Linked DNA regions of Saccharomyces cerevisiae S288C. The protein of the gene in region 3 interacts with the protein of the main gene of each other region in a biochemical or structural test. Each region holds a gene or a part of one and is shown on either strand. Other genes may lie near its edges.

Region 1 (4,638 bases), on a different chromosome or scaffold from region 3:
TTCACATTAATGTCTCGTTTGTACTGTAAAGGAGCAATCCTAACCCATTTATGAACAATCTGGTCTGTAAATTTCAGGGAAGTAGACGAGCTACCGCTAGGTAAAAATAAACTACTCTTGGATGAAGAAGTTACTGGCGTTAATGACGCTGAACTGGGCGACGATGAACTACCGTTACCTGTGTGCGATATTGAATCCTCAGATAATGCGTGCTTTGAGTGTTGTTTTAGGGTACTGACCTGTTTTTTAAAAATGTTGGATAAGTTGTGAACACTAACTTTCAAGTTGCAAATGCTTTCGATATCGTTAAACAGCTGTGAAGTAATAAAATCTGTAAATTTCAGTTCCTTTGGCCTACGGTCTCCCCTATTCATATTATATAACTCATTTAATTCAAGAAAATTCTTGTTGAACTTGGTTTCATATTCACAAATTTTTGAATGGAAATCATCGTACAAAGCTTTGATGCTTGTCAGCTTCTCTTTGTTCATCAACAGTTCAGAATTGAGTTTTATTGGGATAGAATTATCAGATTTAGCAGTTATACATATCAGTTCTGTGGTAATCGATTGAATTTCTGGCGGATCATGAGGTAAGCTATTATCGGATTCTATGCAAGTCAATTGTAAATCAAGTTTTTCCAATGGTTTTTTTACGTCTTCCGGAATCAACTCAGACAATCTCACCCAATTTTCTTGGTCGTGTTTACTCTTAGATTCAAAAACATTGGTCTTTCTCAATAATGAGGGAGCCCAATATGGTAGGCCCTGTTTTGGAATTTTCGCCTTTACTAGTATTAGCCCTGTCCTTTCTTTATTTCCCGTTAAATCATGATTATTCTTTCCCGCATTTGAGGAAGAGGACATTGAGCTGGAACTGCTGTTTAAAAAATGAGAGAAGTTCAGAAATGAGGAGGAATTGGATTTGTTTTTCAGTTTATATTTTAGTTCACTTTCAACAAAGGGACCCCAAGCTCTGGAAGTATCGGTATTATGACCACTATTTCCACTGCGGCCATTGTCCAAATCGTGGCCCAACTTCAAATCGTTATAGTTGACTAAATAGTTATTTCTGTTCTTAATGTGCAGTTGGTCCAATTTCCTCTGCAAAATTTCTTGGGAGTCTGATTCAATAGAATCATCAATGGTACCACTCAAGTCTGCACCGTGAATGTCGCGGTTCGTTATGGGTTCTTTTTTCTCTAATCTCTGAAAGATTTTTCTAAGAGCATCCAACCTTTCCTGCACTAGTTTGGTGATATCATTCAGCTGACTCATAGTGGTTCTTTCTCCGACGACATTGGCGTCAAAACCAAAAGGGATTACTCTTAGATTATATTCTCTTTCCTTCATAATATACAGTTTAGAGGCCTTTTGATCTTTACCGACAATCCTTGCATCAATAGTGTAATTGATCGAAAGGTTGTCATCAGACATATCGTTAGTTAAGATGGGGGAGCCCTTTGTACCTAAATGACCGCACCCAAGTACCCTATTGACTTTGATACCGGAATATTTGCAATTGTTCCTATATTTATCAATACCAAAACTGGGAGGTAACAAACAATGAGAGAAATGCTCCTGCTTACAAGTGACATCTAGCAATTGCAGTGGCAATTTGAAAATGAAGAATTTCTTGTACTTGACTCCGGGTTCCAGAACCCGGCTATTGTTTAGCCCAAATACAGAACCATCGTAGTCAACATCTGCGGGAATGAAGTCCACACCGGACCCCAGTGCTATTTTCGAGTATGACCAAGAAGCGCTCAAGTCTACCATCCTTAAAAACCGTTTAATCGTTCTTTTACTCTTTACTTTATCAATAATGGAAATGTAAGACTCTAAAGTGACATAGAACATTTCAAACTTTAGGTTTGCTTGAGATTTGTTTTCAATAGTGATAAAACCATGAATCAAATCCCCCGACGTATACTCTTTCAAAATGGACTCCTCCTCCGGCTTCACGTGTGGTATAGGTGCATGCTTCGTCGTCTTGATGGTGATTTCGATGGGTGTGGACATTTTTGGTAAAGTGTACAATTTGTCGATGAAAATGTTGTCTGTATCGTTCAAGTCATCAAGTATGGGAGGTATATCCAGTGAATCTTCATCGACAGCGGTTGATTGATGTGCTGCAATACTGTGATGTTCGGTTCGAAGGGGAATTAAGTTTTCTAAATTTGATGTTGACGAAGAACGTGTGGCACCCAATGCGTCAGTGGACAATGATTGATGTGAGAGATCAGCGCTCGAGCCCGCAGCACCTGTTGCAGTAGAATTATTGGCCTCTTGGTATGAAGGTGGGAAATCATGCCTATCTGGATCGACGTTGCCCTGCGGAATGTGCCTATGCAGGGTATTGTACATCTCAAATGAGGGCAGTACATCAACAACATTGTTGATATCTCCGTCGGTCAAGGACCTTCCGGTCTCGACGGGGGTCGCATTTGCAGTTGATCTTCTCAAAGGAGAACGATTACCTCCAGCAGGCGTTCCGGTGGAAGGAGCATGCGAATGAGAATGTGCTAGTTCGGGACGTCTTAGTCCAAGGATCCCCGTAGCAGACGCGCTTCTTATCCATGATTTTGGAGAGTGTAACGACGGTGACCTCGAACTGCCTTTACCACCCTCTTGTTTCTGCCTACCACGCCCCCTTGTGTTTGCATTAACGTTCATAGTTGTCGAACTATTTGCGGTAAAATCAGATCGTTGAGGACGCAGCAAAGGCTTCCTCTTCGGTGGAAACCCCGAATCGTTCAAATCTTTGGCCATTTAGCGTACGATATACCTGTTGACACACACGAACAGTCTCTTTTCGCCCTTGCTAAGAGCTTCTTTCCATAATCACTATGCGGCTCTTCATTGCAATACTTTTATCATTATTAAAATAGCCTCTGAGAGCGGGTCACGGCCCGCTGAAGGGAAAGAACAATTTAAAGCCAGTTTTAAGTTCAATCCACCGATGGACGAGAGGCAAATAAGACGGATCAAAGACACCGAATCATTCTAGCACGATAATGTCGTTGAATATACATATCAAGTCAGGACAAGACAAGTGGGAAGTAAATGTGGCACCTGAAAGCACAGTGTTGCAATTCAAGGAGGCGATAAACAAAGCGAACGGTATCCCGGTGGCAAATCAGAGATTGATCTACTCGGGTAAGATTTTAAAGGACGACCAAACCGTGGAGTCATACCACATTCAAGACGGTCACAGCGTCCATCTGGTCAAGTCACAACCCAAACCACAAACCGCCAGTGCCGCTGGCGCAAATAACGCCACCGCCACCGGTGCAGCAGCTGGCACTGGCGCCACCCCGAACATGTCGTCAGGTCAAAGTGCAGGCTTCAATCCGCTGGCCGACTTGACCAGTGCCAGATACGCTGGATATTTGAATATGCCATCTGCAGACATGTTTGGCCCGGACGGTGGTGCATTAAACAACGACTCGAATAACCAAGACGAGCTGTTGAGGATGATGGAAAACCCCATCTTCCAATCGCAAATGAACGAGATGTTGAGTAACCCTCAGATGTTGGACTTTATGATCCAGTCCAACCCGCAATTGCAGGCCATGGGTCCACAAGCCAGGCAAATGCTACAAAGTCCCATGTTTAGACAGATGCTCACCAATCCTGATATGATTAGACAGAGCATGCAATTCGCAAGAATGATGGACCCTAATGCCGGTATGGGCTCTGCAGGTGGGGCTGCCTCTGCCTTCCCCGCTCCTGGTGGCGATGCTCCAGAGGAAGGCTCCAACACGAACACTACTTCCTCATCCAACACAGGGAACAACGCAGGGACTAATGCAGGTACCAACGCAGGCGCTAACACAGCTGCAAACCCATTTGCGTCTCTTCTGAACCCTGCATTAAACCCCTTTGCTAACGCGGGAAACGCTGCATCCACCGGGATGCCCGCCTTCGATCCTGCATTGCTAGCGTCTATGTTCCAACCCCCTGTACAAGCATCTCAAGCAGAAGACACCAGACCACCGGAAGAACGCTATGAACATCAATTAAGACAACTAAACGACATGGGCTTCTTCGATTTCGATAGAAACGTCGCAGCCCTCAGGAGAAGCGGTGGCTCCGTCCAAGGCGCTCTTGATTCACTACTGAACGGCGATGTTTAAATAAACGTCTAGATGCCGCAACCTATATACTTTTACCCTACTCTATCGGCATATATTTAATCTACGTATTACATGTATCCATCAATAATATCATCATAATATCTGGACACTTTTGGAAGACGCGCCCTTGCGAAAGAAAAAAAAAAATTTTCGTTTCACACCTACAGTAATAAACACATAATAACAACGAGCTAATCATCCCAATCAATCACCCCTTCCCCCTTTAATTAGCAGCCAGGGTACTGTATTTAGTCATATAGCGGTACTTGCATTGACCGCGAACGTGTAAACACAAGCAAAGCAGATTATGACCACACAAATAAGGTCTCCCCAAGGCTTGCCGTATCCGATTCAGATCGATAAACTCATTCCAAGCGTAGGTTCGTACCTTCATGAGGGTGATAGGTTGCTTGTCTATAAGTTCTGGTATTTGGTGGAAAGGGCCTCAGACACTGGTGACGATGATAACGAGCACGATGTTTCCCCCGGCGGCAGCGCCG
Region 2 (4,651 bases), on a different chromosome or scaffold from region 3:
GACATTTAATTGATTAGGGTCGAAATTTTCCACATATGAGCCTAGCAATCGGTTTAGCAAATTAGCAGCTAAAGACTCTAACATTTAACTGTTCTTAATTTTCCTTTTTTCTGCCTTTTCCCTTTTGGTAGTCACAATATTCTATCCGTATCAAATTAAATAGAGTTAAAAGGTTGACTCAATTGGTCGGCTTATGTGCGTTTACTGGAGATTGAAACATGATAGGACACTATAAAGGTGGTTTATATTCCCTAATAAAAATCCCTTTCTATCAAAATAGCTAATGGTATTACCCGGCTTCGCGAAAATAGTGAACGTCATAGTATAAGACGATTCAAAAATCCAAGCTCTTGAAAACCAACATGAATAAAGACAATAACACAGTTGAACAATTTATTTAGTGTTCTATGGAGTATTTATCAAAAAAAAAAAAAAACCAAAAAGAAAAAAGGAGAGTAAACATATATATATTGACATAATGAAAATATTGCGAGGACTGATCAGTTACCACCCCTCAACCTCAAGACAAGGTGAAGAGTGGACTCCTTTTGAATATTGTAGTCCGACAGCGTTCTACCATCTTCTAGTTGCTTACCGGCAAAAATCAATCTTTGCTGGTCTGGAGGAATACCTTCCTTGTCTTGAATTTTCGACTTAACGTTGTCAATAGTGTCAGAAGATTCAACCTCTAGGGTTATAGTCTTACCTGTCAGTGTCTTGACAAAAATTTGCATACCACCTCTCAGTCTCAACACCAAGTGAAGAGTAGATTCCTTTTGGATGTTGTAGTCAGACAAGGTTCTACCATCTTCTAGTTGCTTACCAGCAAAAATCAATCTCTGTTGATCCGGAGGGATACCTTCTTTATCTTGAATTTTACTTTTGACGTTGTCAATAGTGTCGGAAGATTCAACCTCTAGGGTTATAGTCTTCCCTGTTAGAGTTTTGACGAAAATTTGCATACCACCTCTCAATCTCAACACCAAATGCAACGTAGACTCTTTCTGAATGTTATAATCAGACAGCGTTCTACCGTCTTCCAGTTGCTTACCAGCAAAAATCAATCTTTGTTGATCTGGAGGAATACCTTCCTTGTCTTGAATTTTCGACTTAACGTTGTCGATAGTGTCAGAAGATTCAACCTCTAGGGTTATAGTCTTACCTGTCAGTGTCTTGACAAAAATTTGCATACCACCTCTCAGTCTCAACACCAAGTGAAGAGTAGATTCCTTTTGGATGTTGTAGTCAGACAAGGTTCTACCATCTTCTAGCTGCTTACCGGCAAAGATCAACCTCTGTTGATCCGGAGGGATACCTTCCTTGTCCTGGATTTTCGACTTAACGTTATCGATCGTGTCGGAGGATTCAACCTCTAAAGTGATGGTTTTACCGGTCAAAGTCTTAACAAAGATCTGCATACCACCTCTTAGCCTTAGCACAAGATGTAAGGTGGACTCCTTCTGAATGTTGTAATCAGACAGCGTTCTACCGTCTTCTAGCTGCTTACCGGCAAAGATCAATCTTTGTTGATCTGGAGGGATACCTTCCTTGTCTTGAATTTTCGACTTAACGTTGTCGATGGTATCGGAAGATTCAACTTCCAATGTTATGGTTTTACCGGTCAAAGTCTTGACGAAAATCTGCATAATCTATTAGTTAAAGTAAAGTGGGAGGGAGAGTTCGAGAGTTCTTGTCGTATTGTAGTAGATAGAAGATATACTTATCCTTATCCGTACAGTTCTTGCTCTTTCTGAAGTAGCACTTTCGGAAGAAGAAAGATAAGCAGGCGAATTCAAAGGTGGCAAAACCCGGAGCCTCTCTATATATACCCCCAAAAGGAGGAACCGCCCTCAAATGACACTGAATTCTAAAAACAACTGATAAGTGGCATCGCCCCTGAAAAAAGAAACGAAGTGGGGTAACCACCGTGTGTGGCCGGATGTACGGCTGTGTGATGCTCCACTGGGCGGCTATTTTTTTTTTTGGTACCGAAATTGGTTTATCCAGGATTATTCTAGAACGTTCTAGAAACAATACTGACCACAAAGACTTTTCGGAATAGAATATTGTCAAACAAGAACTTTTTCACTTTCTTTTCATAAAACGTCACTTTCATCACTTTTGCAGGATTTCCCACAGTTCGTTTAAAGGGACATTTCCTATCATGGGTTGCCCTGCGCGAATAAGATGATTGGTCAAGGAAGACTCTAAAATCATCTGAACGGGTTATTTGAAGACTTGGGTCTAAATGAGAGCTTGCTTATTCCACCCGCCACGCCGGGCGTATCTTCACTGTCTTCTTCGGCCAGGGGATCCAAAGAGAATCGGGCATATTCGTGCGTATTCCTTGTCCGTTGTCTCTGGAAATCTAAGCTAGTGCTGGTGGTGGGAGGCTTTGCTTTCTTTTCTAAGCTTTGTCGCGTGAGCTCGCTTCTCATTTCCTCCAGCTTCAAATGGCTATTGTCCGTGGACTTCCTGCCCGGAGTCGATATGCTTGAGCGGAATTGTATTACATCCTTGCGTTGTTTTTCTAGTAACCCGTCGTCTTGCAGCAGCCCCAGAACGTTCCTGCTTAGCTTTTGAATATCTTCCGCCTTACGTTCATCCCGAGGATCCTGAACCTGAAAATCCTCCAGGATCTCAATTAGTATCATGTTTCCTTTCAGCCACTTGATGAATTCATTGGACCCGTTATTCATCAGATATGAGACCAAAGTCAGCGTCTTCATCACCTGGATACAATTTCGATGAGAATTTCTTCTGTTCTGCCCAAGTAGCAATCGCTTCCGGATTACCTGGATGATTTCTCGTACTGTCTTGGGGCTGTAGGTCAAGATTGATATTTCGTTCATAAGCGTCCCCGTTGCTCCACTTGTTTCGTCCTCGTTGGTAGCCTGTTTCACCTTTGATTCCGTCGGTGATTGAATAAAACTCTTGAAGGTATCTAACAAAGGCATCACGACCCCCTCACTATATGTGTACTCGTTCTTTGACACCTTTATGCTTTCTAGGCTTATTCAACACATAACCTCAATTTTCGTTTTCTCATTCTTTTTTCTTTTTTTTTTTTTCTCACTAAAGCGTTGTCCTAGAGATGTAAAAAGAGAAGGAAATGAAATTTTTACTGGAAATGTTACTACTATTACACAGGTTTATTTAGAAAGTACAAACGTGTCAGCGTATTTAGGGTGTCAATGCAACAATATTGAAACTATCATTTGTCTTCAGAATAGCGGCAATACCACCATCTCCGCATACCACGTCCATATCAGTGAAATCGGCAGTGTCGCTTTGCAAACAGAGGGCGCTCTCCTCGTCTTTAGTCCAATTTTTTGTTTTCTTGTCAAATTTGTATATCGTCAGCGAATTGCTCTCGTTTGAGTATGCAATCATATTCTTTCCAGAGTCGTCAATGTCATAGGTAACGGTGCCCGTCTTGAATTCTGGGATTGTGTAAGTTGGATACGCTAGCGTGCCGACATCCTTTCTTAGGTCAAAGCAAACCACAGTTTGGTCACACTCTACTACCATCCAGTACCCATTGTCTGCAAATTTAACCTCTTTTATCTTGGCTTCTTCATCTACGGGGAATCTAGAGCTTGCCTGGTCAGGTGATGACAAGTTGTAAACGTCTAATATACCGTCCGGAGAGTAAAGGGCTAATAATAATGAATCCTTATGTAGGACACCGCTGCTGTACTCAACATCTGATTTAGCAGAATGAACAATATACTGGGAATCATCCTCGTAGGATTGAAATCCTATGGTTCCTCTATTATCCGCCCAGATGAAGTACTCTGTGTTGACCTCGTTGTGACCATACATATATATAATCTCATTGGCGGAATCTACCTCTATTTCTCTGAGGACTTTGTTTGTTTTTGAGTCCAATATAGTTATTTGGTTACCTGGATATAGTAGTAGCAAACGATTACAAGGCCCTCTGGAAATAATAGCTGGATGCTCTCCCCCGGTACGGGGATTTGGTGTAGTTATTGTGGTAATCGTTTTCGAATCTTTTAATTGGGTAAAATGTAAAGCACCATCCTCACAGCGACACATGCACACCCATTTATCATAGTACATAGATTTGTTAAGCTCTTTATATGGGAATGTTTTGATGTTACGGGAGTAATTTTGTGCCTGTAATAGCTCCAAATTTTTTAAAATCGGCCATTTGGGTGCTTTGAGCTTGCCCCTCGCTACAAAGTCTCTAGAAGATTGTAACAGCCCTTGTAAAAATTCTTCTCTCGTAATAGCTACCGCTTGCTGTGAGGATTTGGGTAAATCCTTCGAATCTTCGTTTTTTTCCATCAATAGTTGCGCAGCGACCAACTTTGCAGCATCTCTTTCGTACATTACAGTCGACAGTTTTTTCGTTAAACTATCTAGAGTTGATCGTAACTTAAAGTTTTCGAGCATTATAGCATCCCATTCATTCTGTAAACTTGTCAACAGATTCGGAATCGAATAATTCGCTTTTAACGTAGCAGAGTTTGTAGACTCTGTTAGTGAGGCTTGTTGCGCACTAGGTACGATTTCCACTATTTCTTCGATGCTTAAGGGCTCATTTGTTATCGGATCATTCCCCGTATCTTTAACATACTGTTCAAGGAGCGACTTTTCAAAAATAGTCCTGGATTTAGGTGAT
Region 3 (5,369 bases):
TATGACTTTTACAACCTTTAGCAAGTATAATGGTTTGTGAAAAGAACCGTAAAATATAATCGTCATCTTAATAAGTTGCTAATGAATGATCACTGAAATTTCTACAGCAACAAAATTTATAACTCAAGTACAGTCGTGTTTTGCTTTCACTACGATCAATAGTATTATTATTACCGATGATTCCACTGTTAGTGTTATTATATTCAAGAGTGTACACTTCTCGCTAAGTAATGAAGAAATTTGCACATCTCATGTGTACACTCATTATACAAGATCACTTTCAACAAGCATTGAGTCACTAGAAAATTACAAATTATTTTCCCAGGAGGTGTAAAATGGCATATGTTTCTGCTGTCCTTGAAAAAAGTATGGAATAACCAGAAGCTTTGATAGAAAACGCCGAGGATAATACTCTGTGTAAAGCTCTAACCTTCATTCATTTTGTCACATTATCCACCTACTTGAATTCTAATTTAGAATACGAGTCGAAATAGTCTCGAAGAATAACTCACAACCTTTTTCCTATTATCTGTATGCTATACATGCCGCTGATTTTTCATTTTTTTCACTTTTAAGAGTAGAAAAAAGAAACGAAGTGTACATAATTAACTAAAGCCACTTGAAACAAATAATCAAAAAGTTCAAAACACCGATTGTTAAGAAAGATGTCGCCTTTGAGAAAGACGGTTCCTGAATTTTTGGCACACTTAAAATCACTGCCAATTTCAAAAATTGCAAGCAACGATGTGTTAACAATATGTGTTGGTAACGAGTCAGCAGATATGGACTCAATTGCTAGTGCAATCACTTATTCGTACTGCCAATACATATATAATGAAGGTACTTACTCGGAGGAGAAAAAGAAAGGAAGCTTTATTGTCCCAATTATCGACATTCCTAGAGAAGACCTCAGTTTAAGAAGAGACGTAATGTATGTCCTAGAAAAACTGAAAATTAAGGAGGAGGAATTATTCTTCATTGAAGATTTAAAGAGCTTGAAGCAAAATGTCTCCCAGGGTACTGAATTAAACTCTTACTTGGTAGATAATAACGATACACCAAAGAATTTGAAAAATTATATAGATAACGTCGTTGGCATTATAGACCACCATTTTGACTTGCAAAAACATTTGGATGCTGAACCTCGGATTGTAAAAGTGTCCGGCAGTTGCTCATCGCTGGTTTTTAACTACTGGTATGAAAAATTGCAAGGTGACCGTGAAGTGGTGATGAACATTGCACCACTTTTGATGGGGGCCATCTTAATAGACACTTCAAATATGAGGCGCAAAGTCGAGGAAAGTGATAAATTAGCTATCGAGAGATGCCAAGCTGTTCTTAGTGGTGCGGTTAATGAAGTGTCTGCGCAAGGTTTAGAGGACAGCAGTGAGTTTTATAAAGAGATAAAATCAAGAAAGAACGATATTAAAGGATTTTCGGTAAGCGATATTCTAAAGAAGGACTACAAACAATTCAATTTCCAAGGAAAGGGACACAAAGGGTTAGAGATTGGTCTTTCATCAATAGTAAAAAGAATGTCTTGGCTATTCAATGAACACGGTGGTGAAGCAGATTTCGTCAACCAATGCAGAAGATTTCAGGCGGAGAGGGGGCTCGATGTATTGGTTCTGTTGACTTCATGGAGGAAAGCTGGTGATTCACACAGAGAATTGGTCATATTGGGAGACTCTAACGTGGTACGTGAACTCATTGAAAGGGTTAGCGACAAGCTCCAACTTCAATTATTTGGGGGCAATCTTGATGGAGGTGTGGCGATGTTTAAGCAACTGAACGTCGAGGCCACCAGAAAGCAAGTCGTCCCCTATTTAGAGGAAGCGTACTCAAACCTGGAAGAGTGAAGGGAGATGTTATATATGCTTTATTTGGTTTATATATGACCCATATAGATATTTTTGTACACTACTATTTGTCTTGGTGTTGTTCAGGCTGTTCAGACTGCTCAGGCTGATCTTGTTGTTGTTGCTGCTGTCTTAACCTTTCCTGTCTTTGCTGCTCTTCTTCCATAGACAGACGCAAGGCCATTGCCAGTTCTGGGTCCATTGATGGGTCTACCCCGAAGTCCATAAATGTGCCATTGGCATCGGAATCACCGCCAGACCCACCAAAGGCGCCCATACCGGAGGATCCTTCTTCGAGAATTATGGGTGAAGATGCGATGTTCTCGTACAGCAGTCTGGGGCCAGGCGTCACAGTAAGCAAATGACTAGTTTCTTCTTGAGGGTTGTTCACTGCAGCTATGAACTCATCCAAAAGCTCCGTGTTCTGTTCAATCTCTCCAAAATTGATGATGTCCACGGCAACATTATTCTTTTTCAGTGTTTTTGCCAATCTGATCAATTCGTCTCGAGAATCACTTATTGGGCTACACACAAATGCCACAATCCTTTGATGTTGGACCTTATTCTGGCGATGCTTCAAAGTCAGCTGAGCGATCTGCAACGCAGTGGCCATATGCAGCTTACCCTCGATCTGCGTGTCGTGTAGTCCAGCAAGAATCTTCCCAAACTCGGCGGTAAACGTAGATAACACCCTGGGGTTGGCGCCAGCACCAGAGATAAGACCCACTGTATTCTCAGGATTGCTGTTTCTCTTGGCTTGAAATATGAACTCTACCGAGTCGATCTGGGCTTCAAACCTTGTCCTAGGAAAGTCGCCATTGCGAGAGTACTCTGAATTATCAATCACTAACACTGTAGCTTCCAATACCATTGTGCGGTTACTGCTGAGTTATTTATTGACTTTTCCCTTCTTTCTTTACGCTTTAAAAGTCTGATATAAGTGTGTATTTAGTTGTAAATTCCGGTGGCGAAAACCCGCCTGGCGGAAATAACCCGGCAGCTATAATGCCATATAACTTCAAGAGAATACAATTGTAAACAAGAAGTGGCAACAACATCAGCAAAAGGGCAGCTGCCGCACTCGGTTACGATGATACCGGCTCTCACTCCCGAAGAACGGCAGAAGTTGCGCAGCGCAATACTACATCGAATGCAGCTGGAACGTATGTCACCTCACCGCAACACTCTACCCCCAACCTTCACCCGCACTAATTACTAACACAACCTCAGTGGAAACAACAGAAAAACTGATCGAAAATATTAAAGAGGAGACGTTAAAGAAACTAAATCTGCTCCAGCAGCCTGATGCAACATCAGCGCCTCAATCAAAGGAACTAATCAGAGAGGTGCTTGAACAGGAAGGACGCCGTATAGAATGATTAGTTCGTATAATGGACCCTTTCTCGGTATTCGCAATGATGCACCTATTACTAATCAGCGGCCGATTTGTTGGTATTAAAGCAGCGTGTGGTTACATCCCCTTGTTGAATACATGTCTACTTAGCAGAAGGCCAGGTATATGGAAACATGCGTTTAATCAGTAAAGTTTTGGTGAAAACAAATTGCCTAGAGGTAGGTATGAGGAGGGCCCCACAATGGTATTCTCACTACTCTACTACAGCGGGCAATGCTCGTGTGAACAAGAAGGGCAGCAAAGTAGTGCCTGTGTTAACAGGGTTAGCACTGGCATCCATATTCGCGAAGAAATGGTATGACGATTCCCAGATCAAAAAGGCGGATGCCACCAGCGTTGCAGTGGACGCATCCATCTCTGCGTTCCCTAAGAAGATGGGCCCCCCACAGTGGCCCTTCTCCACGCAATATGAGCTGATTGGTAAGGGTGTACGTTGTGTCTCATCGATCACTTTCAAAGCATATGGTCTGGGCATATATGTGGCCGCTGAAGACAAACATCTGGTCTCTGAAGTACTGGACTCAAAGTTCCTGTCTCAGGCGTTCATCGACACTGCGGCACCCCCATCACCGGAAAACTCACATCAGGATAATTTGCGTGCGGCTTTGAACGATCCTGCTAAGGCCCCTATCCTGATTAATAACCTCTTAGACAGCGGAATCAGACTAATGTCCAAGAATACTCCGATAAAAGCAGGTTCCTTCAAGTTATTGATGGACGGCACCAAAAAGAGCGTCCTAAAGAACCCAGATTCTCAGTCTCAAGACAAAGACCGGCTGGAAGCTGGATTCCAAGAATTGCATGACTGTTTCAGGAGCGTAAAAGGACTTGTGGCTCGAGATGATGATTTTTTCATTGAGCTGAATAAGGACTGCTCTATGAATTTGTCTTACTACGCAAGAAAGAAGGATGAATTTGTGATATTGGGCACAGTGAAGGAACCCCTTATTGGAAAGCTCTTATTTGCCCACTACCTAGCTGCTGTGGATCCTCCTTCTCCGGAGGCTAGGAAGGAAGTAATCGATGCACTCGTCTCTCTATCTTAGGACACTTTCGCCGACTTCTACATACAATTACATAATACATACGCTGTTCCAAAAGCTGCACATATACTCTAATGATGTTTTTTTGAGTTTCCTTTCGACTCAATTTTTCTAGGAGGGACCCCTCAAAATGTTTACAATGCTATTCGGTTTTGACAAGAAAAAATCAATTCAAAACTCTTACGGCGTTACAACCGCGATAGAATCCCTTCATGGACAGAGGAAGGTGCGCCAATATGCTAAAATCACTCCAGCGAACACTAGCTAAATGTCAGAAATCTCCATCAACCAACCATTGGCAATGTTTCAAAAGAAATTTTACTAGTATACGAGCCACTAAATACCCTGGGCGTTCTAATTCGACGTTCCACTATTGGCCCTGGTTTGCGGCGTCAACATTGCTCGCTACTTCGTTATACTACCGTGATCGTCCGGTACAAAATGACGATAAAACTGATGCTTTTCCTTCTCATACTGAATCGATACAGGTAGACTCTAGCGTATCAGATTTCCCACTAACGATTACTGCTTTAAATTTCCCTGTCTCTACAACTTTTAAATTACTGGGATATGGTCAAAGGCACGTCACGTTTTTGAGGTTCAAGGTCTATGCCTTGGGTCTTTATCTAGCTGAAAATGACGAAAACCTTGTTTCAGACACTCTAAATGAAACTTATTTACATAAATATTTCCTTGATGTGGATGATTCTAAGACTCCTAAGGAGAATCTAGCTAGATTATTGAAACGTGATGACTCAAAATCCGTTATGATGATTGATGACTTACTGGATTCTGGAATGAGAATGCTAGCCAAGATAACTCCCGTAAGGAATACAGATTTTAAGCATCTTAAGGAGGGCCTGGTCAAAACTATTTCTAAACATCCCGATGTGGCCAATAATAAAGACACACTGGCGAAGGGCCTAAGTGAGTTAAATGATGCCTTTTCACGTAAGGGATCCGTCAGGAAAAATGACGATTTGATCATCGAATTATTAGCCAACGGCGCTTTACAATTTTCATATCATGACAGTAAAAACAACGAATTTGAGG

The links. Proteins that work in one complex are often made in the same cells at the same time.
Region 1: the proteins of RPN10 (region 3) and DSK2 form a complex in vitro, tested with the Saccharomyces cerevisiae proteins (7 studies listed by BioGRID, with this or other methods).
Region 2: the proteins of RPN10 (region 3) and UBI4 form a complex in vitro, tested with the Saccharomyces cerevisiae proteins (14 studies listed by BioGRID, with this or other methods).

The regions. Positions count from the first base shown.
Region 1 is NC_001145.3:815,811-820,448, forward strand, and holds DSK2 (ubiquitin domain-containing protein DSK2), read left to right. Parts: upstream 1-3,016; coding exon 3,017-4,138; downstream 4,139-4,638. Other genes in the region: ubiquitin-ubiquitin ligase BUL1, read right to left, coding at 1-2,771; FCP1 (protein serine/threonine phosphatase), read left to right, coding at 4,446-4,638. UniProt on the Saccharomyces cerevisiae protein: Involved, with RAD23 in spindle pole body duplication. Involved in the ubiquitin-proteasome proteolytic pathway.
Region 2 is NC_001144.5:63,562-68,212, forward strand, and holds UBI4 (ubiquitin), read right to left. Parts: upstream 1,647-4,651; coding exon 501-1,646; downstream 1-500. Other genes in the region: membrane morphogenesis protein VPS13, read right to left, coding at 1-84; ENT4 (Ent4p), read right to left, coding at 2,214-2,957; E3 ubiquitin-protein ligase PRP19, read right to left, coding at 3,184-4,651. UniProt on the Saccharomyces cerevisiae protein: Ubiquitin exists either covalently attached to another protein, or free (unanchored).
Region 3 is NC_001140.6:496,440-501,808, reverse strand, and holds RPN10 (proteasome regulatory particle base subunit RPN10), read right to left. Parts: upstream 2,731-5,369; coding exon 1,924-2,730; downstream 1-1,923. Other genes in the region: PPX1 (exopolyphosphatase), read left to right, coding at 666-1,859; NBL1 (borealin), read left to right, coding at 2,950-3,022, 3,090-3,238; AIM46 (Aim46p), read left to right, coding at 3,387-4,319; AIM18 (Aim18p), read left to right, coding at 4,529-5,369. UniProt on the Saccharomyces cerevisiae protein: Multiubiquitin binding protein.